Linked DNA regions of Anolis sagrei. The protein of the gene in region 2 purifies or fractionates together with the protein of the main gene of each other region. This does not show direct contact. Links are inferred from orthologs where the notes say so. Each region holds a gene or a part of one and is shown on either strand. Other genes may lie near its edges.

Region 1 (7,496 bases), on a different chromosome or scaffold from region 2:
AAAAATTGTTGGAGCGGGTGTCAAAAACCAGGAACATACATACATATGTGGTGGCAATGTAAATATGTAAATAATTTTTGGGAGAAAGTATTTAGAGAAATAGAAGATATAATGAATATGAAAATTGAGAAAAGTCCTAGTATAGCCTTATTATCACTATATAACAACAAACAATTGAACAAGGAGGATAAAGAAGTGATAAACTTATTAACAATAGCAAGACTGCTCATAGCAAGGAACTGGAAAAAAGAAATAAATATACAAATAGAGGAGTGGTACAAGGAAGCATGGAAATTGGCAATAAATAATAAGCTGACATGTATATTAAAAGTTAAAAAAGTATATGGAAACAAAGTGATTTTGATGTTGTATGGGGTAAATTTGTTGTAAATGGTTTAAAAAACAAGGAAGGTTACCGCCACAAGAAGAAATGAGATTTTGGACAGATGATATGTAAAAGTTGTGGCTTGAAATGGGGGGAGGGGAGCACAGTGGTGGGGGGAAAAAAGGGGGAAAATGCTTAAGCAGAAGAAAAAGATTATATGTTAAAGAGGGTGTTGAATAATATGTAACTGCTATAAACAAATGTATAATAAATGTAATAATTATGATAAAGTAATAAAAATATTTAAAAAATAAAAAATAAAATGTATATCTATAAAAAGATACATATTAAAATTTATTTCTATAAAATGTGTATTAAAATGCAAAAAAACACAACCCAGATTAAACAAAGGACATTAAAATTCATGTTTAAAAGCTGTTTTTATAAAAGCATCTTGGTTGAGTGACAGCAACAAAAAAATTGCCAGACTATACCAGATGCATAATTCTTAGGTGTAAAAATAATATCCCATGAGATTAGCATAAACACAAGGACTGCGAGAGAAAGTTGCACCATCTAGTTGAAGAATTGGCAGGAAAGCCACAAATGTAATCTTGGATTTCCCAGGGTGCACCTTCTACACTGTAGAATGAATTGCAGTTTGGCACCACTTCAACTGCTGTGGGGTCCAGGGAGCTGTAGTTTGACAAGAGCTTTAGCCTCCTCTGCCAAAGAGTGTGTATGCCTTGCCAAAGTACAACTTCCAGGATTCTGTGCCATTGAGCCAGGGCAGGTAAAAGTGGTGTCAAACCGCATTCCTATAGCAGGCATGGGCAAACTTTGGCCCTCCAGGTGTTTTGGACTTCAACTCCCACAATTCTTAACAGCCTACAACCTTGTTGGTCAGGAATTTTGGATATGACATCTGTTTACTGGTTGACTCATAAATTAGTGGCAAAGGAAATTATACTTGTTCAGGCCTTGGTTGTGGGATTATGTGTTTGTAATTGTTTTGTAATTGTTTTGTGTTCTGTTTACACTGTAATGTGTTAATATATGTAAATTTAATTAAAAAAAAGCAATTGTGGGAGTTGAAGTCCTAAACACCAGGAAGGTCAAAGTTTGTCCATCCCTGTTCTACAGTGTAGAGCAGCGTTTCTCAACCTGGGGATCGGGGCCCCTGGGGGGGATCACGAGGGGGTATTGGAGGGGCTGCGAAAGACCATGTGGGGGGGGGGGGGTTCAGAATGCTCTTTGATTGTAGGTAAACTATAAATCCCAGCAACTACAACTCCAAAATGTCAAGGTCTATTTTACCTAAACTCCACTAGTATTCACATTTGGGCATATTGAGTATTTGTACCAAGTTTGGTCCAGATCTATCAACGTTTGAGTCCACAGTGCTCTCTGGATGTAGCTGAACTACAACTCCTAAACTCAAGGTCAATGCCGACCAAGCCCTTCCAGTATTTTCTGTTGGTCATGCGAGTTCTGTGTTTCAAGTTTGGTTCAATTCCATCGTTGGTGGAGTTCAGAATGCTTTTTGGTAGATGAACTAAAATCCCAGCAATTACTATTCCCAAATGGCAAAAATCAACCCCCCCCCCCCCCCCTCCAAGCCCCACCAGTATTCAAATTTGGGCATATTGGGTATTTGTGCCAGATTTGGTCCAGTGAATGAAAATACATCCTACATATCAGATATTTACACGACGATTCATAACAGTAGCAACATTACAGTTATGAAGTAGCAGATGACGTCCAAATCTGTCACTCCTTCCCACCCCGTTACTAAGGAGGCTGTTCAGCTACTGAACCAGTGCTTGGCCACTGTGTTGGACTGGATGAGGGCTAACAAATTGAAATTGAATCCTGACAAGACAGAGGTCAGTCAAAAGGCCGAACAGGGCATAGGGTTACATCCTGTGTTGGATGGGGTTACACTCCCCCTGAAGACGCAGGTTCGCAGCTTGGGAGTGATCCTGGATTCATTGCTGAGCCTGGAACCCCAGGTTTCAGCGGTGGCCAGGGGAGCTTTTGCACAGTTAAAGCTTGTGTGCCAGCTGCGCCCGTACTTTGGGAAGTCTGATCTGGCAATAGTTGTCCACGCTCTTGTTACATCCCGAACTGATTACTGCAACACATTCTACACGGGGCTGCCTTTGAAGCCTGTTCGGAAACTTCAACTAGTCCACCGGGCTGCAGCCAGATTACTAACTGGAGCGACATACAGGGAGCACACCACCCCCTTGTTGTGCCAGCTCCATTGGCTGCCGATACACTTCCAAACTCAATTCAAAGTGCTGGTTTTGACCTATTAAGCTCTATGCAGTTTTGGCCCAACTTACTTGTCTGAACGCATCTCCCTCTATGTCCTGCTTTGCAGTTTAAGATCATCCGGGGAGACCCTGCTCTCGCTCCCGCCAGCATTACAAATACGTCTGGCAGGAATGAGAGACAGGGCCTCCTCGGCTGTAGCCCTCTGCCTGTGGAACTCGCTTCACAACGAGGTAGATCGGCTTCATCCCTCCTGTGTTTTAGCAAGAAATTGAAGTCGTGGTTTCCGAACCGTCTTCAAAGACATCCCCATGTAGAGTGCGTTGCAGTAATCTATTCGGGATGTGACCAGAGCGTGGACGACCATAGCCAGTTCAGACTTCCCAAGGTACGGGTGTAGCTGGCGCACAAGCTTTGACTATGCAAAAGTTGACGTGGCCACCGCCAAAACCTGGGGTTCCAGGCTCAGCAATGAATCCAGAACCACTCCCAAGCTCCGAACCTGTGCCTTCAGGGGGAGTGTAACCCCATCCAACTTTGGATATGGAATTTGACTGGAATGGTGATACGGTGGTTAATACTGTTTTTATTGTTTTATTTAATGTTCTATTTATGTTTTAATTGTTGTTATATTGCTTTGTTATATTTAATGGCATCACATTGTGCCAAATTTAAGTCATCCTGAGTCCCCCTTCAGGGGTTGAGAAGGATGGGGTAGAAATACTGGAAATCTATATATATATAAATGCTCTGTGCATAATGAGTACCTTAAAAACAAAAGAACCAGTGAACGAAATCACACCAAATTTGGCAACAAAACGTCTCACTATACAAGGAGTGGCCATCACTCAAAAAAATATTATTTTGTCATTTGGGAGTTGTAGTTGCTGGGATTTATAGTTAACCTATAATCAAAGAGCATTCTGAACTACATTAACGATGGAATTGAACCAAACTTGGCACACAGAACTCCATGACCAACAGAAAATATTGGAAGGGTTTGGTGGGCAGTGTCCTTTGGTTTTGGAGTTTTGTTTTTTTGTTGTTGTTGTTTTTTTTTTTTGTCGTGTCAGGAGCAAGTTGCTTCTCTTGTGAGAGAATTGGCTGTCTGCAAGGACGTTGCCCAGGGGACGCCTGGATGATTTGATGTTTTTATCATCCTTGTGGGAGGCTTCTCTCATGTCCCTGCATGAGGAGCTGGAGCTGATAGAGGGAGCTCAACCGCCTCTCCCTGGATTCGAACCTGCGACCTGTCGGTCTTCAGTCCTGCCGGCATAGGGGTTTAACCCACTGCGCCACCGGGGGCTCCTACTTTTGGAGTTGTAGTTCACCTACATCCAGAGATCACCGTGGACACAAGCAATGATGGATCTGGACCAAACTCTACATGAATACTCAATATGCCCAGATGTGAACACTGGTGGAGTTTGGGGGAAATAGAATCTTGACATTTGGGAGTTGTAGTTGCTGGGATTTATAGTTCACCTACAATCACAGAGCATTCTGAACCCCACCAACGATAGAATTGGGCCAAACCTCCCACACACAACCCCCATGTGGGCCACAGCAACGTGTGGCAGGGGACGGCTAGTAAGTAAATAAATAGCAACCAAAATAATTTTGTGATTGGGAGTCACCACAACAGGAGGAACTGTATTAAAGGGGTCCTGGACTAGAAAGGTAGAGAAACACTGGTGTAGAGAGAGAGAGAGAGAGAGACAGACCAGCTGGAGCTGTCACAAAATCTCATCCTTCCTGTTCTCAAGCTCCGCCTTCTTTCGCCTTTTCTTCTCGCTGCCTTCAGGCTCTCGCGAGACCTTCCCGCTGCTCCGCGGATTCCAGAGCGCTCCAGCTAGGTTCCATATTGGGGCATCTCGCTGGGAGTTTTTTTTTTTCCATCCATCTCCCGGAAGTCTCGCGAGACCTCCGCGATCGATTGGTTCTGGCATCTAAGGAAGAAGGGGAGGTCGGGAGAAGTCAGGCGCGGGCGAGTCCTCGTCGTTGCGGGGCTGAAGCGGGCTTCTTCCAGGGCGACCGCAAGCCTCCTTACGCTGAGGGGGGAAGGCTTTTTGCAGGGGGTGGGGTGAGGGGGTCCCTAAAAGCAGTTCCCAAGGAAAGAGGCGCCCCGTGTTTCCCCTGCAGCGGCACGAGGCGTCCGGGCCAGCTGAGGCGGCGGTTGGGCGCGCGCGCAGCACAGAGAGAGAGAGTGTGTGTGTGTGTGAGTGAGTGAGTGACGGAGAGACCCCTCCCCTTTCCCCCCTCCCCTCTGAAGGGGGCGGAGCCAAGGGTCCCGTGCGAGGGTCTCCCTCCCTCCAGGCCGCGCTGGGCGGGGCGGGCCCGGGGTCGCGATGACCCACGAGCGGCCCAAGTTCTACCGGCAGGAGCTGAACAAGACCATCTGGGAGGTCCCCGAGCGGTACCAGAACCTCTCGCCGGTGGGCTCCGGGGCCTACGGCTCGGTCTGGTGAGTGGCAACCCTTCGTCGAAAAGGGAGGGAGCTCCTTAACAGAGCCTCAGGGTCACACGTTCAAGGCAGACCGCCTTGGCCGCATCTGCAGTTTGACACCCCTGCAGTTGCCCTGTCTCAGTGCTGTGGAGTATTGGGAGTTCTAATTCGATGAGTTAGCATCTCTTTGGCAGAGATGGCTGAAGGCTCCTAGGATTACAATATATTCGTAATAATACAATATAAAAATCATATATTGGCCAAGTCTTTCATGGCTGGGATTATTTGCTTTAGGTTTTGTATTGTTATATTGTGTGTTGAGGCCTTGGCCTTTGTAAGCCGCATCGAGTCCTTCGGGATATGCTAGCGGGGTACAAATAAAGTTTAATAATAATAATAATAATATTTAGGGTTATGGGGGCTTGGAGAGTCTCCCGAGTACTGGTGGCTGCTGCTGGGCTCCTCCAGACCTCTGGCCATTGGCGTAATTTATTTCATTAAAATAATAATAATCACTGGATTGTTGTAGGTTTTTCGGGCTATATGGCCATGTTCTAGAAGCATTCTCTCCTGACGTTTTGCCTGCATCTATGGCAAGCATCCTCAGAGGTAGTGAGGTCAGATTTCACAATAATAATAATAATAATAATTATCTTTACTTATACCTCGCCACCATCTCCCCGATGGGGACTCGGAGCGGCTTACATGAGGCCAAGCCCAAACAACAATTACAATAAAGAAAAAAAAACCAAAACACAAACCGAAAATGCAAACAATAACAATAACATCATATTAACATAAAACATACGCATACATAACAATGTAAAAATTACAAGTAGCACAGGCAAAATAACAATAACAACCTGTGAGGATGCTTGCCATAGATGCAGGCAAAACGTCAGGAGAGAATGCTTCTAGAACATGGCGACATAGCCCGAAATACCTACAACAACCCAGTGATTCCGGCCATGAAAGCCTTTGAAAATACATTAAATCAGTTTACAAAATCAAAATACAGATGCAGGCAAAACATCAGGAGAGAATGCTTCTGGAACATGGCCATATAGCCCGAAAAACCTACAACAACCCAATTATCATATACTTTATATTACTAATAATATTACAGTTTAGAAATACAGTACAATATTGTAATATTTAATACTATATTGTGCTGTGCCAATAATATAATATATTGTATAGACATATGTTATTGATAATATTATAATGTAATACAAAATAATACTAATAATACAGTGTAATAATTTATATTTCATATTACATGTAATACTGCAGTATGGTGGTATAGTACAGTATAGTAATATATAATACTAATATTGTGCTGTGCTAATATTATATATTGTATATACATATATTATTGATAATATTACAATGTAATATAATACTAATAATACAATATAATAATTTTATATTCCATATTACATGTAATATTACAGCATAGTGGTATAATACAATATAGTAACATGTAATACTAATATTGTGCTGTGCTAATGATGTAATACATTGTATGTACATATAACTTGTAAGCTGCTCTGAGTCCCCTTTGGGGTGAGGAGGGTGGCATGTAAATGTCATAAATAAGTAAATAAATAGGATTCCATAGCACTGAGCCATGGCAGTTAAAGCACTGACAAAGTGCATTAATTCAACATCCTGACTGAGAGTACATCTACGCTGCAGAATCAGCACAGTTTGATACCAGTTTAACCATGGCTCAATGCTGTCGAATCCTGGGGGTCCAGCCATATCTGCAAAATCGTGCATTCCATAGCATTGAGCCAAGGCAGCTAAATTGGTGTCAAACAGCATTCAGCTCCTCTCCTGTGCAAAAGCTGGCTGGCTGGCGATGCCGCCTCTACGCAGGTGCATTGTGCACTGTCACAGTATCTGCTGCAGTTCGCGCGTCTCTCCTGCAAACCTCCTTGACCCCTTCGGTTCTGTCTTTGCATGCACCCCACTAGCTTTTGGTGCTGAGGAGGCAGCCTTTGGCAAAAAGGAGTTGTTTCATAATTGTTCAAGGTTGGTTTTTTTTTTGAGATTGCAAGGGGTATAAAGAGGCTTGGCATTTTAGAAGCTACTCCGGCATTATATCGACTTTCATTCTTGTTCTTTTGCCAGCCCAATGTATATTGAGTTTCCCTTATTTTGAATTCCAGAATCCTCCAAAATTTCAATCACTCTTGGTTCCAAACATTTTGGCTAATTGGGGTCAAATTTTGTTGCTTTCTCTTACTGCATGATATTGCTCATACTAAAGTTTCCATGTCTTCGTGACAGAAGGCATTGAGGCCAGCCTTATTATGTTTATCTTACATTGCATCTACACTTCAGAATTAATGAAGTTTGACACAGCTTTAATTTCCTTTGCTCAATAATATGGAATACTGGGATCTGTAGTTTGGTGATGCACCAGCACTCTTTGGCAGAGAA
Region 2 (7,076 bases):
TAAAAGATCTCAGCCGGCATTTGGAAACAATCAACATTGACCAAATCACGATCTGTCAACTGCAAAAGCCCATCTTACTTGGATCTGCTTGCTCATTCGAAAATACATCACGCAGTCCTAGATGCTTGGGAAGTGATACGAAATACAGCATATAGAGCTCATTTGCTGTGACGTATTGTGTTTTCGTGTCAGTAAAATAATAATAATAATAATAATAATAATAATAATAATAATAATACAGCCCCTTCTACACTGCCAAATAAAATCCAGATTATCTGATTTGAACTGCATGACAGTGTAGACTCATAATCCACTTCAAAGCAGATAGTTTTGATTATATGTTTTGATAATTTGGATTATATGCAGTGTAGAAGGGGCCTACATTGACCATATAATGTAGTTCAATCTGTATTATAAGGACAATGTAGATGGGGCCTTTGTGGTGGCTACTTTCTCCCATTCTGGTCAGGCCTTCCTCCTAGGATTGTTGCGAGGACAAAGTGGAGATGAGTGCAACAGTGTTCACCACTCCCAAACTCTTTAGGCTCCTTCAACACTACCATATAATCCAGATTATCAAATAAGATAATCCACATTATCTCCTTTGAACTGGATTATATGAGTCTACACAGAGGCGGCCCTAGGTAATTTTCAATGGTAAGCAAACATATTTTGGCACCCCCCAACCAATCACTGATATATATTTTCTGTTCGTCGTGGGAGTTCTGTGTGCCATATTTGGTTCAATTCCATCATTGGTGGAGTTCAGAATGCTCTTTGATTGTAAGTGAACTATACATCCCAGTAACTACAACTCGCATATGTCAAGGTCTATTTCCCCCCAAGAGCACCCCTGGGCAAAATCAACTATACTGCAAATGCGTACTTTGCGTAATGGGTTGAGCTGCCCCTGAGTCTACACTACCATATAATCCAGCTCAAAGCAGGTAATCTGGATTTTATATGGCAGTATAGAAGGGGCCTCAGAGAAAAGGGATATAATGGTAACAAAGAAAGAGAGAAGAAGAGATCTCAACACATCAGCAGTCTCCTCCACTGAAGTGGGTGGAAGTTGACAATGAGTAAGCATTGGCTGAATTTCTGTTTGTGTTTTAAGTGGTTGTATATATGTCACAGTAATTGCCACATTTTGGCCCCATGTACCAGCTGACACAGAAAAACTCTGCCTGCATCCACTTCTGGTTGGGTTTCATCTGATGTATAAACCTGTCAGTGAAGGGCACTTGCATTCCCACACTCGCCTCTCTTTACTTTCCCTGAAAGTGAATGGAACGCCGACGCTTACGCTATAATTACAGGGTGAGGAAAGGGAACTCCTTGCTTTGTGAAATATCAGTACAAATCCCCGAGGTAATTATTATTTAGGCTGTACAAGCAAGTAACACGCCGCAGCTTCTGCAATCCCCATGACTTCCTAATAGGGAACTGTTACAAATCAGGCCTTGCCTGCACAAGGTTGAAGGTGCACTTTCAGGAAAAACAAACCAAAATACAAACTTGGCCGGTGACCAGAGTTGTCAGGCCTGTTTTCAAACCGTCCCTCTGGACTCTTGAGGTTAACTAGACAAGGGCTCTGCCTGACAGCAGTCTTTCTTAAAAGCCCACATTGGCAGAATTGTTGGGTGTCTTCAATGGAAGACATTGATATTAGGGGTTAGGAGAATGGAACAATCCAAAAGTGCAAGCAGCAATTTTAGATTTTAATTAATTTTAGCTTGGTCATGAAATCTCTCTGTCTAAGTAAAGGTAAAGGTTTCCCTTTGACATTAAGTCATATTCAACTCTTGGGGGGGGGGGGCATTTCTAAGCCGAAGAGCCGGCGTTGTCCATAGACGCCTGCAAGGTCATGTGGCTGGCATGACAGCATGGAGCGCCCTTACCTTCCTGCCAGAGCGGTACTTATTCATCTACTCACATTTTGCATGTTTTTGAACTGCTAGCTTGGCAGAAGCTGGAGCTAACAGTGGGAGCTTATCCTGCTCCCCGGATTTGAACTGCCAACCTTTCGGTCAGCAAGTTCAGCAGCTCAGCGATTTAACCCACTGTGCCACCGGAGGCTCCTTAGATTCAAACAGGTAGAACTCTTGTCTGTTTGAGGCAAGTGTGAATGTTGCAATTAGGCACGTTGATTAGCATTTAATGGCCTTGCAGCTTCAAAGCCTGGCTGCTTCCTAAATCTGATTGTATAAATTTGTTAATGTGTTTCTATGTTGTAATTTTTAGTAAAGCACTTCAATGCTTTTGCACAGAAATTTACAACCCAGATGTGTGATTGATTTGCTCATTCAGTCAAAAGAAAAAAATACCTTAAAAAAATCCCATCCTTCCAAAGCATTGAACTCTGACAGTGGAAATAGTGTCAAAATGCACTGAGTCAAGAGCGTAGATGCACACAGAAAAAAAGGGAAGCCAGGTGACGACAGGTCAACAAACGACCTCCTGAGAAAAATGTATAATATCACAAAGGACTGCCACCTTACCCGTCTCATAGGAAACCTGCTACAAAACAGGAGCTTTTTTGTTGACTTCCAGGGCCAGAGAAGCAGATGGCGGAAACAGAAGAATGGCCTGCCTCAGGGGAGCATGTTTGCTCCACCCATGTTCAACATTTACACAAATGACCAGCCACTGCCAGAAGGGACAGAGAGTTTCATCTATGCTGAAGATCGTGCCATTACTGCTCAAGCAGGGAGCTTTGAGATGGTTGAACAGAAGCACTCCGAAGCTCTAGGTGCTCTTACTGCCTATTACAGGGAAAACCAACTGATCGCTAACCCATCTAAAACACAGACATGTGCCTTTCACCTTAAGAACAGACAAGCATCCTGAGCTCTAAGGATCACCTGGGAAGGAATCCCACTGGAGCATTGCAGCGCACCCAAATACCTGGGAGTCACTCTGGACCATGCTCTGACCTACAAGAAGCACTGCCTGAACATCAAGCAAAAAGTGGGTGCTAGAAACAATATCATACGAAATCTGACTGGCACAACCTGGGGATCACAACCAGACACAGTGAAGACATCTGCTCTTGCGCTATGCTACTCTGCTGCTGAGTATGCATGCCCAGTGTGGTACACATCTCACCACACTAAAACAGTGGATGTGGCTCTTAATGAGACATGCCGCATTATCACAGGGTGTCTGCGACCCACACCACTGGAGAAATTACACCGTTTAGACGGCATTGCACCACCTGACATCCGCCGGGAATACTGAATACTGAAAGGACCAAGGCAGTGACATCTCCAGCCTATCCACTGTTTGGGTATCAGCCAGCACGTCAACGACTTAAATCAAGAAATAATTTTCTAAGATCTACAGAGACACTTGCTGGAACACCTCAGCAAGCGGGAGTCCAAAAGTGGCAGGCTCAAACCCAGAACCTCAATCAATGGCTGATACCAAATGAGAGACTCCCCCCTGGGCACACAGAAAACTGGGTGACTTGGAAGGCGTTGAACAGACTGTCCTCTGGCACCACGAGATGCAGAGCCAACCTTCAGAAATGGGGCCACAAAGTGGAATCCACGACATGCGAGTGTGGAGAAGAGCAAACCACTGACCACCTGCTGCAATGCAACCTGAGCCCTGCCACATGCACAATGGAGGACCTTCTTGCAGCAACACCAGAGGCACTCCAAGTGGCCAGATACTGGTCAAAGGACATTTAATCAACTACCAAGCTTGCAAATTTTGTGTTTTGTCTGTCTGTTTTGTTCTGTTAGAAATGTAATACAATTGTCTAGTTGCCCCTGACACGATAAATAAACAAACGACCTAGGAAAGAAAGGTCTTTTTCCCTCTCTTTTTTTTATGAATGAACGCGCGCAGATCTTTTTTAATCACAGGGCCCCGCCCACCTCCTGCTTGTCCACGCCCCCATCGTGACGTCAGCATTCCATTCACTGCCAGGGGAGGCTAGGGCCCGCCCCTTCCTAGCCTCCCTGGCAGTGAATGGAACGCTGACGTCACAATGGAGGCGTGGACAAGGGGGAGGTGGGCGGGGCGGGGCGATTTAAAAGCCCCGCCCATGAGAACCGCAGCCGCTTCATTCTTAAATCCCCTGCTGCTGCTGTTGTTGTTGTTGCTGGTGCAGCTGCGTGGCGGCCATGCGCTAAGGCCATGATGGTGGAGCCCCTGGGCGAGATGGAGTGCGGCGCCTTGCACCGCCTCCTCCTGCACTCTTCTTCGGGGTCCAAGTGCCTCCTGCTGCTGGACTGCCGCCCCTTCCTGGCTCACAGCGCGGGCTTCATCCGCGGGGCGCTCAACGTGCGCTGCAACACCATCGTGCGGAGGAGGGCCAAGGGCGCCGTCAGCCTGGAGCAGATCCTGCCGGCCGAGGAGGAGGCCCGCGCGGGGCTGCGCGAGGGCCTCTACGCCGCCGTGGTGCTCTACGACGAGCGCTGCCCGCGCGCCCAGGCCCTGCGCGAGGACAGCACCCTGGCCCTGGTCCTGCGCGCGCTCACCAGGGACGCCCAGCGCGCCCGACTCGCCCTCCTCAAAGGTCAGCAGGCGCAGGCAGGCCGGCCGCACGCGCATCTGTCGGGAGGGATCGGGCCGTGCCCTTCGTTGTGTCAGAATGGGGTGGGAGGGACAGGACGGCTGCTGGGGTCTCCTCCAGCTCTGAATCTATGGGCAAGCAGGCAGTCCCCAAGTTACAAGCAAGATAGCTTCTGTAGTTCAATTTGTATGGAAGTGGGAACAGGTACATTTCTAAGTGTGACTCCAGCCAAAGATATATTATTATTATATATATATATATATATATATATATTATATCAAATACTGTGTGTATATATGTATGTATGAAATACAGAATCTGTATGGAAGTCAGAACGTTTTTCAGTCAAATATATAGCATATTATATATAAGATAGATACTATAACAAATACATATATATATATATATAATAGTTGCATTGGTATGGAAGTCAGAACATTTTAAGTGTAACTTCAGCCAAAGATATATATAAGCTACTAGCAGTCCCTTACCACGCGTTGCTGTGGCCCACACGGGGGTTCTGTATGGGAGGTTTGGCCCAATTCTATCGTTGGTGATGTTCCGAATGCTCTGTGATTGTAGGTGAACTATAAATCCCAGCAATCACAACTCCCAAATGTCAAGGTCTATTTTCCCCAAACTCCACCAGTGTTCACATTTGGGCATATTGAGTATTCGCGTAGAGTTTGGTGAAGATCCATCATTGTTTGAGTCCACAGTGATCTCTGGATGTAGGTGAACTACAACTCCAAAACCAAAGGACACTGCCCACCAAACCCTTCCAGTATTTTCTGTTGGTCGTGGGAGAACTGTGTGCCAGGTTTGGTCTAATTCTATTGTCGGTGGGGTTCAGAATGCTCTTTGATTGTAGGTGAACTGTAAATCCCAGCAACTACAACTCCCAAATGACAAAATCATATTTTTGAGTGATGGTCACTCCTTGTGTTGTGAGACGTTTTGCTGCCAAATTTGGTGTGATTTCGTTCATTGGTTCTTTGGTTTTTAAGGTACTCATTATGCACAGAGCATTCTTGTATATATAGATATATTATATCAAATACTTTGTGTGTGTGTGTGTGTGTATGAGAAATATAATCTTTGCATCAGATAGGGAAGGGTTAATACCCCATGTGGTGTTTGTTTTGGTGTCTGTGCTCCTCTTCAGAAGATTTTTTGTCTTGTTTTCTGTCTCTGTGATAATTGGATTTTGAAAAAAAAAATGACTTGTGAATGTGATAAAGCTTCAGGGGAGACCCCTTTTCCCCATGGTAACTCCTTCAGGAGGGAATATCCCTTCCTAAGGGTAGATTTCTCTCACTTCCTGTTATCTTACCCACCCTCCTCCTCCTTCTCCTCCTCCTCCTCCTCTATATCCCACTTTATCTCTCCTGTAGGAGACTCAAAGTGGCTCAGCATACAATTTAAAATATAAAACTATGCAAACAATAAAACAGGATTAAATATAAAACAGTATTTTTTAAATTCCCAGTTTAAAACCATTAAAACACATTCAAAGTTAAAAACCACAGCAACTTGTGACTTGATCTTAGGGTCCCAACTGGCTTTAGCCCAGGTAAGGGGAAAACCAGGCCCGGGGGCCTGATGCGGCCCCTTGAGCTCTTTCCTCAGGCCTTCCTCTCTCTCACCATCCTATTATTTATTTATTTATTTACTTACTTACTGTATTTGTGTACCGCCTTTCTCAGCCAACTGGCGACTCATAATTGAATGGATCCTATCCTTCCTTCTGTCTCCCTTCCCCTCCTCCTTCCCTTCCTTATTTCCCTTGTTCTCCTTCCCTCCTTTCCATCCTTTCATCCTTCCTTCCCTCTTTTCTCCATCCTTCCCTCTTTTTCCTGCCTTCCCTTTTGTCTTTCTTTCCTTCCTTCACTCTTCCCTCCCCTCCCTCCTTCTATTCTCTTCCTTCCTTCCTTCCTTCCTTCCTTCCTTCCTTCCTTCCTTCCTTCCTTTGTCTTTCCTTCCTTCTCTCTCCCCTCCCTTCCTCCCTTCTCCTTTTCCTTCCTCCTTTCCTCTTTGGGGGATGTTTAGCTGGGAGAAGAAAAGGTAGGGAAGGAACATGAGAGCCATGTTTCAAGATTTCAAAGAGTGTCCCATTGAGGGAAGGGGGGGGGGCTAACTTTCTGCTGCTCTAGAGACCAAGGCACAAGGGAGCAATGGGTTCAAATGGCAGGGAAAGAGATTCAGCTGAAAAGATTAGAAAGAACTTCCTGGAGAGCGGCATAGGCGGCCTTAGGAGTGTGGAGTCTCCTACTCTGGGGGCTTTTCACAGAGGCTGTCTATTGGGAGTGCTTTGATTGTGTCATCCTGCATGGCAGGGGGTTGAACTGGGTGCTCCTTGGGGGTCTCTTCCAACTTGAGGATTCTAGGATTCTATGTCAGGAGTTGGCAAAGGGGGGGGGGTGTCTCATGGATACACTTTTTCTCTCCCATCCATCATCAACCCCCTCCCTAACCAGCCCACCCCGCTCTGGGCCCCCAAGTTAGAAAGTTGGCCCATGCTTGCTTTAGCCCCAGAGAAGTGTGGGTTTTG

The links. Proteins that work in one complex are often made in the same cells at the same time.
Region 1: the proteins of DUSP4 (region 2) and MAPK14 purify together in Homo sapiens (affinity purification with mass spectrometry; 3 studies listed by BioGRID and IntAct, with this or other methods). This does not show direct contact. The link is inferred for Anolis sagrei from reciprocal best matches to the Homo sapiens genes DUSP4 and MAPK14.

The regions. Positions count from the first base shown.
Region 1 is NC_090024.1:186,304,335-186,311,830, forward strand, and holds the start of MAPK14 (mitogen-activated protein kinase 14), read left to right. Parts: upstream 1-4,491; 5' UTR 4,492-4,950; coding exon 4,951-5,066; intron 5,067-7,496. UniProt on the Homo sapiens protein: Serine/threonine kinase which acts as an essential component of the MAP kinase signal transduction pathway.
Region 2 is NC_090022.1:195,039,502-195,046,577, reverse strand, and holds the start of DUSP4 (dual specificity protein phosphatase 4), read left to right. Parts: upstream 1-4,053; 5' UTR 4,054-4,146; coding exon 4,147-4,528; intron 4,529-7,076. UniProt on the Homo sapiens protein: Regulates mitogenic signal transduction by dephosphorylating both Thr and Tyr residues on MAP kinases ERK1 and ERK2.